Ovis aries: one gene and its partners. The protein of the gene in region 2 purifies or fractionates together with the protein of the main gene of each other region. This does not show direct contact. Links are inferred from orthologs where the notes say so. Each region holds a gene or a part of one and is shown on either strand. Other genes may lie near its edges. The genes, in order: SUDS3, ARID4B and SAP130.

The links.
Region 1: the proteins of ARID4B (region 2) and SUDS3 purify together in Homo sapiens (affinity purification with western blotting; 3 studies listed by BioGRID, with this or other methods). This does not show direct contact. The link is inferred for Ovis aries from reciprocal best matches to the Homo sapiens genes ARID4B and SUDS3.
Region 3: the proteins of ARID4B (region 2) and SAP130 fractionate together in Homo sapiens (co-fractionation; 4 studies listed by BioGRID, with this or other methods). This does not show direct contact. The link is inferred for Ovis aries from reciprocal best matches to the Homo sapiens genes ARID4B and SAP130.

The regions. Positions count from the first base shown.
Region 1 is NC_056070.1:56,885,171-56,888,817, reverse strand, and holds part of SUDS3 (sin3 histone deacetylase corepressor complex component SDS3), read left to right. Parts: intron 1-170; coding exon 171-190; intron 191-1,658; coding exon 1,659-1,815; intron 1,816-3,647.
Region 2 is NC_056078.1:7,337,026-7,340,672, reverse strand, and holds part of ARID4B (AT-rich interactive domain-containing protein 4B), read left to right. Parts: intron 1-2,806; coding exon 2,807-3,076; intron 3,077-3,647. UniProt on the Homo sapiens protein: Acts as a transcriptional repressor. May function in the assembly and/or enzymatic activity of the Sin3A corepressor complex or in mediating interactions between the complex and other regulatory complexes.
Region 3 is NC_056055.1:117,447,891-117,452,319, forward strand, and holds the start of SAP130 (histone deacetylase complex subunit SAP130), read left to right. Parts: upstream 1-1,555; 5' UTR 1,556-2,484; coding exon 2,485-2,556; intron 2,557-3,351; coding exon 3,352-3,469; intron 3,470-4,429. UniProt on the Homo sapiens protein: Acts as a transcriptional repressor. May function in the assembly and/or enzymatic activity of the mSin3A corepressor complex or in mediating interactions between the complex and other regulatory complexes.

The DNA of each region.
Region 1 (3,647 bases), on a different chromosome or scaffold from region 2:
ATTTTAACTAGTCCTGCCTCTTCATGTAGCCACACTTTACTGATGGAAACATGTGCTCTGTGTAACGGTGCTCTCAGAAAGCAATTACTGCTTCTAAATGAATCCTAACGTCACTCTCTAGAAAGGTGGTACAGCTTCGCGAATCTAATTGCATGTTTTCTCTCTTTCAGAGCTCTTCCTCCAGCTGGAAGTAAGTACCACGGGTCTTCTGGGCTTGCAGGATCTTTGTCAGGGTGGGATCTTGCTCTCCCAACCCAGTGGCCTTTCCTTCATCACCACATAGACATAGCTGCTGGGTTCGCAGAGGCCCGCTGGAAGCCTCAACTAGGGTTCTGTTTGACTAAAGGACATTTGGTCTCAGCTCAGAAATTCTGTTTGTTGGTGGGGCAGCCTGTGCTTATCCCAGGGGCTTGACAGATGGATACTCACCCCTCACTGCTTTCTTGTTGACTCTCATCTCACATTACAGCCGTTTGGGGGTACATGGTAAAAAACTCACTTGCCGGTGCAGAAGACATATAAGAGATGCACATTTGATCCCTGGGTCAGGAAGATCCCCTGGAGGAGGGCATGGCAACCCACTTTAGTATTCTTGCCTGGAGAATCCCATGGACAGAGAAGCCTGCTGGGCTGTGGTCCATGGGGTCATAAAGAGTCGGACCTGGCTGAAGCAAATTAGCGCACATGCACGCACTGAATTATAATGGCCTAATAGTTGGTTATATTGGTCCTCAAAGCAGCCAGGTCTCTGAATCAGCTCAGTTTCATCCTTTTGAAACTCCGGATGGGAGGGAAAGACTGATTAAGATCTTTGACTGAGCAGATGCCTGAGTGCTGGTTCCATGTGAGGTGCAGACCTACAGGCAGTGATGAGGGCCAAATCTTGGGTGATGTGCTGGCTCCTAAGGGGCCAGTGTGTGTGTGGCGAAGCGGGAGGGTGGGGGAGTGGTCATGGTTTCTCACAGCTACGTTATTGGAGACTGAAGTCAGCACAAACACGCATAGTCATGGCCCAGAGGGTCACACGACCCATAGCCATACCCACCAGGAGTCCCCTTGTTCTTCACTTCAGGAAATGATGAGATTTGGAAAATGGATGCTTATGCATTTTTTTTTTTACTTAGTATAATTTCACTGTTTGAGTGTCTCTCTGGGTTCAGGCACCTAATAAGTGATCTTGTCCTCTTGTTGGTCTTTATCTTACTGCTGGATCTAACCTTACTGTACGCATCAAAAAATAGGGCAACTCAGGCTGTCTTGGTATCTTATAACTCATCTTGAATATAGGTATTTCATCTGGAATATACTATTTTCCTTCGAAGTTGTATCTTCAAAAGGGTTTGTTTACTGTTTTTGAGAAACTTAGGTTTTGTTTCCACATACAAGCCCCAAAGTATAAGATGTGGAAGAGAGGGAAATACCTGATTACAAGTGAGGGATTCACATAAAAACCAGAAGTTATGTGGTTCAGTTTCATGCATGCATTGGGAAGCTTGCTCCTAGACACCCTGTTACTGCTCGTTGGTGTGTGACTGCTGCTGTCTCTCTTATTTCTAGAAAAGGTATTTTCTTGGTGCTTACGCACAGAACAAGGCTTTGTGTTCAGACCCTGGCTCCCAGGGTTATATAGCCACAATCTATGTTTCTCTTTTGCTTAGACGGAACAAGTGGAAAGAAATTACATCAAAGAAAAGAAGGCGGCAGTGAAAGAATTTGAAGACAAGAAGGTTGAGTTGAAAGAGAACTTAATTGCTGAGCTAGAGGAAAAGAAGAAAATGATTGAAAATGAAAAGCTAACGATGGAACTGACTGGAGGTATGAAAGCACCACAGAACAGGATCCAGGGAAATTTGAGGGGGTCTTTGAGGGAGGAAGGCACTCCAGTGCTGACTCCTGTCAGTTCCTCATCATCAGAGCAGAGTGAGCTGAAAGAGGGGTGAGGGGACAGTCTTTGACATGGCAGGTCATAGTTATAGCTCTGTTTTGTATTGGCTGTGTGACTTTAGTCAAGCCACTTAACCTCTCTGAGCCTATTTTCCCCTCTATAAAATGAGGCTGATCATACCTTATTCCACAAAACTGATTAGAAATATGAGTGCCTAGTACAGGACCCTGTACATAACAGGTGTTGGTAAATTAAATGGTAGACCTTTATCAGTGACTGCAGCATCGGGCTTCTGCTTTATTTAACAAAATTCCTGGGTCAGCTGTCATTCCAGTCTTGCTTATCTTCACGAATTACTCGCCCAAGTTCCGCTCTGCTGGTGGAAATCCCTCTGTTTTTTTTTTTTTTTGGTGGGGGGGGTCTACCTTTGTTATGGAAAAAGCATTGTCTTAACTTTGACCTGACTGTGAGAACAGAGGCTTTGGCTATATCATCTATGCTGTTGCTTCACCCCAGGTGTTACTGTGAACATTTCAGCAGGGGTAGCTAAACTGAGTTGTTCTCCTGTGAAGCTAGTAAAGTTACGTTAGACTTGGAGCCAGTCACTCCCTGGCCTTCTAGGATTCAGTCGTCTGCATATGGGAACTCGGCAGGTTTGAGGGAGAAGCAATATGGGCTGCTTTTTCTGTTGCCATATGTAGACCAATGACTCTGAGAAGGATACAGGATGGGAATTGGCTTGAACTAGCTGTTTTGGAACTTGGCAAAATTTCCACCAGCAAATACTGAAGGCACGTCAGTGGTGAGTTTGTCACTTGGATTTGTAAATGGCATGCCTTCTGCGCAGCCCCAGATTTACTCTTATAATCATGTTCAGAAGGTCCTGGGGCTCTGGCATGTCTCATTTTTGTTGAATGCTCCAGAAGGACCTTGTTTTATGTAAGTCCTCGGGGCTGACTTTGAAGCTAGAAGTAACAGTTTAGAGCTTTATTTCCCCTTTGGTATTTCTGGTGCTGTTAGCCCACCTGGCCCTCCCCCTGACATGGACTTCTAGCGCCAGTCCCCACGACACACCAGTGATATGTGGTTGTGTCTAAAGTAGGGGTCTGGCTCTTGAAAAATCTCTCTTCTGATACCTTCCTTTTTGAAAGACTTGGCAAAAGGAATGAATTTCTTGAAGACCACTGACTGCAACTCAGAAATATGTCCTGGTGAGAATGAATGCTATATAAAACAGCATCTTCAGAACAGCACCGTCTTGTTCTTGTTGAGGCGCTTTTTTGATTAAACTGAGAGCGCAGTGGCGCCTTGTCCGGTCCCAGTCTGCGTGGCTGTATTCTGACCTGCACACCCTCTTCTCCAATGTGGCTCCGGTGGCATTGACGCCTCATCGATCCCCGCTAGAGCCACCAGATGCTCGGAGCCTTCATTAGGCGAGTGGGAAACATTGTCAGTTTACAGCCTCTCCCTTTCCATCTGTGGGGAAGGCTGTCAGCCCCTCACCTGTGATTTGGCATCCTAAATATTGACAGGCAATAGTCATTGGTGAGCCAGGCTGTTTTACAGCCGGAATTTTAACAGGGACAGGAGACATCCTCAGTGACTTAAGAGGCCGAGCCTGCCAGGGTAGAAAAGACAAATAAATGCAGGGAAATCATTTATGACGCAGTAAAATAGACTACAGGAGTGCTTACAGCCTGCCATGGGCATTAAAGGTACTGATGTCCTTCCTCAAGCCGTTTGGTACCCTTGGCATGGAAAG
Region 2 (3,647 bases):
AGTACAACAGAAAATTTTGTGATTGTGAAGAATTAACATATAAATATTTATCTAGTATATAAACTCTCTTAAGTAATTAGCTGGTACAAGAACTTTCAGTGTCCTTCCTTTGTAGTTCAGTTGTGTAAGATTAAATAATTGAATTTATGTAAAATGTTTGGTTCAGTGCCTGGCCCGTAGCAGGTACTAATAACCTATAATAGTTATTTTGGTCTTAATTTTGGTCCATTGTAAGTAAGGAATGTGACATCAAACTTGGGAAATTTGATTATTTGTGAGTTCAGATGAAAAAGTCCTCGTGGATACATTTGGTTTCCCAAAATGTAAAAGATAACTCATGTAATGTGTGTGTGTTGTGTTTATGTTTTTGTGTAATACATACATCCGCTTAGTATACCAGCTACATTTTATACTTTGAAAGGCTCTCTTTCTTGACATTCTGTGTTCTTTTTGATGTATCTACCTCTGATTTTTGCCACTGAGAAGAGAAGGAGGGGGAGAATATTTGGTTCGGCTGATGGCCAGTAATTGTGTTGTTTGCCTCTTTGTAGTTCAGTGTGTTATTGAGTGACTCATTTGATTTGTGTCTGAGGTTGACATTAAATGAGAAATTCTAATTTTTAATTTTTGATTGCTTTTAAAAATTAATACAGAGTATTAGGTTTTTATTCCAGATTACATAAAAGATTGCCCTGGCTACCACTGAAAGTAGGATTGTGCTAGCTATTATTGGTGTTTGCCGGTTGTGTTCAGTGCTACGTGTGCGTGTGTGCTCAATCGCACAGTCGTGTCTGACTCTTTGCGACCCCATGGACTATAGCCCACCAGGCTCCTCTGTCCATGGGATTCTCCAGGCAAGAATACTGGAATGGGTTGCCGTTTCCTCCTCCAGGGGATCTTTCCCAACCCAGGGACTGAATCTGTGTCTCCTGCCTTGGCAGGTAGATTCTTTACCCTTGAGCCACCAGGGAAGCCCTCAGTCCTATATGGTTTTTTAATGAACAGTTTCAAGTTAGTTTTTGTTTAAAACATTTTAAACTTTTAATCATCTATATCTCTTTTATGTTTTCTATAATGATTCTGAGATGCATGATAAATCTCTTTGGTGTATGATCCGTCTTTGTTGTATCTACCAGAATATGCTTCCTTTTCTCCCTGATGAGCAATGATACAATCTTCTGATTAAACAAGTAGTATTCTTTCAGAAAAAGCCTTACTGGTTAATTTTACATATGTTTATTACGTATACATAAATCAGTTAAGTTGTTAATAGTTTATCTGATAGTTTCTTAGATATTTCAGGCTTTCTGATAATTTCTTAGGTATTTCAGCTTTACTTACAATTTTTTCATTATAGAAATGTTAATAGATTTTCAGTAGCAGAATTCATATTTTTTGTCTCAGGTTACAGCTGGATTCATTTAATTTTTAAGTACCAATTTGACTATAAACAAGTCTTTAAAATAGGAGTAATTCTTAAGAATCTTTGTAGACTTTGTGATGCATTTCAGAGAAAATTGACTCATTTGGTACTTTTGTGAACTCAGACTTAATTTCATAAGTGTATTAAGCTTCCCTTCATCCCTGCTGCCTCACTGTATAGAAGGAATAAAAAAGCCCTACAGTTCTAGTTGTGACAGTATTTCTAGTTTATTTTTTGTTGCCTACATAATTGCATAATTAGGAATGATAAAGTATGTTATTGCTAAAAAAGTTTGCATAAAAGAATTTAAAACTAAAATTATTAGTGGAGGAAGATTTTTTTATCTACATACTATGCCCATTAACTTTTAAGGGTTAGTTACTTAGCTGTCTTATGGTTCTATTTTATGACATTTATTCATTTGTCAGCTATAAAGTGATGGATTCTTTTTGAGAGCAAACTGTTGTAATAAGGATAGACATACTGCAGAGTAAATAATTGAAGTTTTTTAAAAATAAATCTAGTGCATGGAAAATTTATAATTTAAGATTTTCCCCCAATTTATTGAATACAAATTTGTGATCAATATAAAATGAATATGATTGTTTTAGAAAGCACGTGATATTGAGAAGACCAGAATCGTTGCGTTGCTGCTTCTAGAATGCAAATGACTTTCAGTTTCATATTTGCAACTGGTCTCTCATATGCCTGTTTCTTCAGAACTTCAAAGTTGAGAGAATTGGTAGAAGAGGACTTTTGGTAAATATGGAGAAAAGAGAGCAGAAATTGTGTTGAAGTTTAGAAGAATAGAAAAAACTTGATGCGATTTTAATGTGAACTTAGTAGGATATTCCTATAAAAGGTGAAGCAATATTTCATTTAATACAACTTCAGAAAATCTGGTTGAAATTATTTTAATTATTAAAACTAGCCATTGGCTAGTAAAAATTTGTTTAAACTTTTATCTGGAGGTTGGAAATATTTGAATGAAAAATATTTTTTAGTCAGAAAATGGCTATGAGTTACGATGATTTTTGTTTTTGTTAACTGAGTTGTAAAGAAATTCTACAATAAAACATGAGGAAAATGTTAGCGTCGACCTTACTAGCTAGTTTCTTGCTGTTCAGCACAACTTCTGTTCTTCTGCCTGTTGGACATTTTCTTTCAATACACTTACTTTTCAGTTTTCATTTTCTCTGAATATATCTTTCTGTAATCATCCATGGCCATCTCATACAGGTTTAGTGTTTGATATTAAATTGAAACTCAGAGAATATCATACGCTTGGAACCTGCTGTTCCCGGAACAATCACAGCCACGATTTTTATCAATTTATGTGGTTTGGAACTGAAAAGCTTATGAAGTGTCTTTTATTAACTGCAGTTTTTTAAACCTTTCAAGAGATGAAACGAATAAAGAGGAAGAGGAAGATGATGAAGAAGTAGAGGAGGAGGAGGAGGAGGAGGAAGAGGATGAAGAGGATGATGACAACAATGAGGAAGAGGAGTTTGAGTGCTATCCACCAGGCATGAAAGTCCAAGTGCGGTATGGACGAGGGAAAAATCAAAAAATGTATGAAGCTAGTATTAAAGATTCTGATGTCGAAGGTGGAGAGGTCCTTTACTTGGTGCATTACTGCGGATGGAATGTGAGGTAACTTGAGTTTTAGCTAGTGATTACTACCTAAAAAATCTTGTACAGTAATTTTCTATTTTAAAATTTAACGAATTATAGATTTATTAGTATTCCAATTGAGGTCATAGTATACCATATAAAAAACATGGAGTTTTGACTTGTAAATACCTCTCTCAGTGACTTCCTACTTACTGTTTTCAATACTTTAGTCTAGAAAACTAAAGTCTGTGTAGTTGATTTTAATTTTATGCATGTAGATTAATAGGGGCAACATTGTTGGTAAAATGATAGAAAATTTTCTTTAAAAGTTAAAAGGGATTTAAGCTTCTTGAGGTCTACAAGCCAATTATGAGGCTTCTGGCTCTCTTGCATTTTCATCTACCTTTCCACGGTAACCTCTTGTTTCCTTCTTAAATCATCCCATTTTCTTGCCTTTAGTAGGCAGGATTTTAAAGTTGCGATTTCTTAGGAAGCTTTAGCTATTTCAGGAAGACCTTATATCTGCATTGGCAGCTCTTGCATGACATCTTGTTCAGAACCCTCAGAAATTAATTTTTATGTTTGAAACAATGATTGAAATATGAGCAAA
Region 3 (4,429 bases), on a different chromosome or scaffold from region 2:
CAATAAAAGTGTCCAATATGTTAAGTCTCAGGGGTTTTTAAGACATATTTGTGGAACTGTAGGTGTACAAAGCATGAGAGAGGTCACCACACCAATGAAACTGAGTCATTTTTGAAAATTATACTTGAAACTCTGAGGGCGCATTAAACTAGTCAGGAAGATGGCATAGCATTGAGAGAGGTCTAGAGCCTTGGAGAATGCTGCACATGTGAGAAAGGCAAGGCATAAAGGAGCTTAATAGAGACAGAAGTAGCATCAGGAAAGAGTGTGTTTCTGGAGACCAAAGGAGTTTATAGTTGATTTACAATGTTGTGTCAGATTTTTTTTTTTTTTTGGAGTATAGTTGAAAAAGACTAAATGTAACAGGTGAACAGCAAGATGATTCAATTACACATATACATGTATCTATTCTTCAGTATTCTTTTCCCATAGCGAAGGAGATTTTAAGGAGGAACTACTGTTGGTAAACTAGACAAGCTGAAAACTAAGCAAAGACTACTGGGTGAGGTGAGAGAGTCACCGGCAACTTAGGGGGGGCAGTTTGAGAAGCAGTGGCAAAAGCAGAATCAACTGCCTAAGGAGAAGAGGCTAAGGTAGATCACATCAGTTACTTTTAGAAGAAATTTGAGAAGGGAAGAGAGCGAGAAACGAAAGTGGCTTGAGGAAGAAGAGGGGTATTTTAGGTTCATTCCTGTAGCCACAAGCTACGCTCTTCTAGCAAGAACATAGCTGTGCATGAAAGGAGGAAGGATGTGAGCCCTTTTTATTTCTTAACACAAAACTCCAGACCTAAATTACCATCTGGGACGGAAGGAGGGAGACATAATCTCTATTGATCAGGCTCAGATTTTGCTTCGGCAGTTTTGACTAAGTCTTGCACAGCCGTATAAACGCCATCCCTCCATTCTAAACAAAACAACAAACCACCACCACTCCCTCCGCTTCTTCGTAATTTGGAAAAACCAAGCAGGTACAACGTGTCCGAGTCCTTCGCCTCTCCGAGCCGGCTTTAAACCTGAGAGTGCTCAGCTCAGCTCTCTGGTGGGTCCGGCCCGATGAGCAGCTGCTGACGCGGAGTCCAGCGTAAACCCCACAGAGTCGCTCCAGTTTCTTGCATCTGATCCTCCCACGACGCTCAGGCTTCGCGGGCCATGGCCTCGGTGCGAACATCAAGTACAGTTAGAAAACCCCTCGGCCCTGCCTGCAGCTCCTTCGGCCCACTGTAGTCGGCCTCCATTACTCTTTTCCCGCGAGGCACCTCCCTCGAGAAAATGAAACCTGGTGCCATCAGCTGAAGCAAAAGGGTGGGACGTTTTTACTAGGCACACGGAAAAGGCAGAATCGACTCCAGACAGCAAAGGGGTGTGCAGCCCGGGCCGGGTCACCAGGATGCCCCGCCCAGGCCCGCCTTCTAGGCATCAGGGACTACATTTCCCAGAGGTCTCAGCGGCCGCGAGGGGCTGGCCGGTCCGCTCTCCGCTCACACTGCGGGGCGACTGGCTTCCTCGGAGGAGGGCGGGGCCTAATCCAGCCAATGGGTGAGGGGCTCGTTACGGCGGCGGAAGCAGCGGCGCTGGGTTGAGGGGTGGGGGGCAGAGTGCTAGCGCCTCGGCGGCGGCGGCCGGTCCCGGAGCCCGAGGACGTCGGCTCCACAGGCGGAGAGCGCACGGAAGCAAGCTCGAAGTGGCGTGGCGGCCACTTGGCGCAGCACTCAAGTAATGGCGGGACGGGCGCCCGGGAGCGAAGGGGAGGGGAGGAGACGAGGGGGCGGGGCGGCCGAGCCGGGCTGCAGCGTCCGTCCCGCTGCGCGTCCCCGGGGAAGGGCAGCGGTGCCTCGTCTTCTGCGGCGTAGATCTGGGCTCTTTCGCGAGCTGAGCATGGCAGTTAGCTCGGCGGCAAAGGCCCGGTGTCCTGCGGCAGGGAAAGGAGAGGCGTCGGGAGGGCTGGGCTGATCCGGGCGTGGGGGCGTGGCGGGCGTGGGCCTTGGCGGGGAAGCTGAGAGGCCGGGGGAGCGCGGGCGGGCGGGCGGCCCAAGGAGTTTGGCTCCTGGAGCAGTTTAAAGTGACTCTCCACATCCGGGCCCTGCGCCCGCCGCTTTCAGACCCCGACCGAGGCGGGGCCTCCTAGCTCCCCGCCCCTTTCGCCGGCAGCGCTTGTCTTCCTCTGCTATTGGCTTAGCCTCGAGGGCCTTGGGCTGCCCCGGCGAGGCTCGCGCCTGATTGGCTGGCAGTCGGCGGGAGGGTGGGGCGGGATCAGAGCTGGCAGACCGCGGTGGATTGGCCCGGGCACTGGAGTGACGCGCCCGGCGTGGGGCCAATGGGCAGACTGGGGAGGTAGGGGCAGGTTCGGGGGAAGAGGACTGGAGCGGAGCGGTGGCCGGGTGGCCCGGGTGAGCGGGGCCAGAGGAGCTGGACAGCGGCGGGCCCGAGGCGCGCTGCGGCGCGAGCCCTCCCGGCGACCTCGGAACCCAGCGCTGCCAGCGAGATGGGTCCTCCGCGGCCCTCTCAGCCTGGCGAGGTGGAATCGGGAGCGGCGGGCGGCGGGCGGCGGCTGCAGGTAAAGAGGCATACTGGTCCTGAGCTCCTCAGAATGCCTAACCCCTCTCCGGAGAAGTCAGAGACCCCATGTGTCTGGAGACCCGTGTTCTCCGATCTCAGCTGTGGGCTTCGGGCTTCTGGGTAGGGGTAGGATTGCGGGCTATCGAGGATATCGGCAGAGCTTGGCTCCTGAGGGGAAAGTGAGGGTCGATTTCAGGGAAGGTGGTGAAGGTCTCGGTTCCCTTTGGCTCGATGGCCGTCTGTGAAAGGGGTGGGATGAAATCCGTCACTGAAGGCCTGTGCAGAAAAACATGAGAATTCCTTTTGGATCAGGTCTTGATGTAAGGTTTCTAATCCTTTCTTAGGACAGGGCGTCTGCCTCCGATTCCTCCCCTGACACACTGATGACAGTTTTGTACACCTTGGTGGGAGGCTTGGCTTTCAAAGGCACAAGCCATTTGTCATGAAACTTTACAGAGAAATATATGTGTTGTGTTAATACATGTCATGTGGCTGTTGCACGCGATGTAGTGTCGACTTTTTCGTCTGGCAGTTCACAGGTATTTGGGGGGGGAAGTCATAATAGCCCTCAGTATCACATAAGCGATTTTACCATTAACTGAACCTATGTACACGGAAAACTTAAACGATTTGGACCACTTCTGCACTGTATGTTGAACACAAGTATTAGTTTCAATCAGTGATGCTGCATTTGCTTTCCTAAAAGAAGGTATAGGTACTAAAAATGCTTTAATTTCTCATTATTGGTTCTAATCTCAGAATCCAGTAATAACCATGTGACTATGCACTGCAGGTGGAAATGAGTTCTCAACAGTTTCCTCGGTTAGGAACCCCTTCCACCGGGCTAAGCCAGGCTCCTTCACAGATAGCCAACAGTGGTTCTGCAGGATTGATAAACCCAGCTGCAACAGGTGAGATGTGTGACATTTTTCTGCATTGCTTTCTGCTTTTAAAATATTGCAGGTTTTCCAACTTAAAAAATAGCAAATTCTTGGTGGGGTTTTAGTAAATACTAGGTTATTGAGTTTGAAGAAAGGATATATTACAATTCTACTGTAAATAAGGCTTTTTTTCCGTCCTGTTTTACTCACTTGATTCACATGTGCCAGAGTATAGGTGAAACCTAAAGCATGCTTATAAGATACATTTTTTAAATGTATTAATGTGTTGTTATTTAACTAAGGCCCAGAAGTATAATAACAGTGCCATGAGGGTGGGCAGAGGCATAGGAACTTACAGGAACTTACCTTTTAGAAACTTGCCTTTTAGTAACTTACTGTTCAGGAAAAGAGATTTCTCTAAAATGTGTATGCACACACATATGCAGCTTGGGTTTTAACTGTGCTCTGAAGGCTGTAGATCAGTGAGTGGCCTCAGCTGGTAATGATTCGGCTGGCCAGGGAATGTTTGGCAATGTCTGAATACAGTTTTGGGTCTCACAGGTAGGGGGTGCTACTGGCATCTGGTATTTATTTAGAGGCCCTGGATGAAGCTGTTGAGTATCCTACATGATGCAGAACAGCCCTCCCCCACCCCCAACAAAGTTTCCAGTCTAATCAGCAGTGCTGAAGTTGAGTTACTCCTTCAAATAATCTGTATATTATATATATCAAGTAAAAAGTATTATTACTTCTGTATTGGTAAAGTGAAATAAAGTACTCCTTTTCCTATTCCTTTCTTTAGTGCCTGATTTCTGTGCTCCTTATCATGGTATTCCTCCTACTTAACAGTAGCTGCTGACATTTTCTGAATAAGCGATAAGTTCCCAGTTTTCTCGACCTTGGGACTTTACATAGTCTGGTTTTTGTGCTTTTCGTTTTTTGTGGGGTTTTTTTTGGCTACAGTCTTACTTCTTCCTCTCCACACTTACT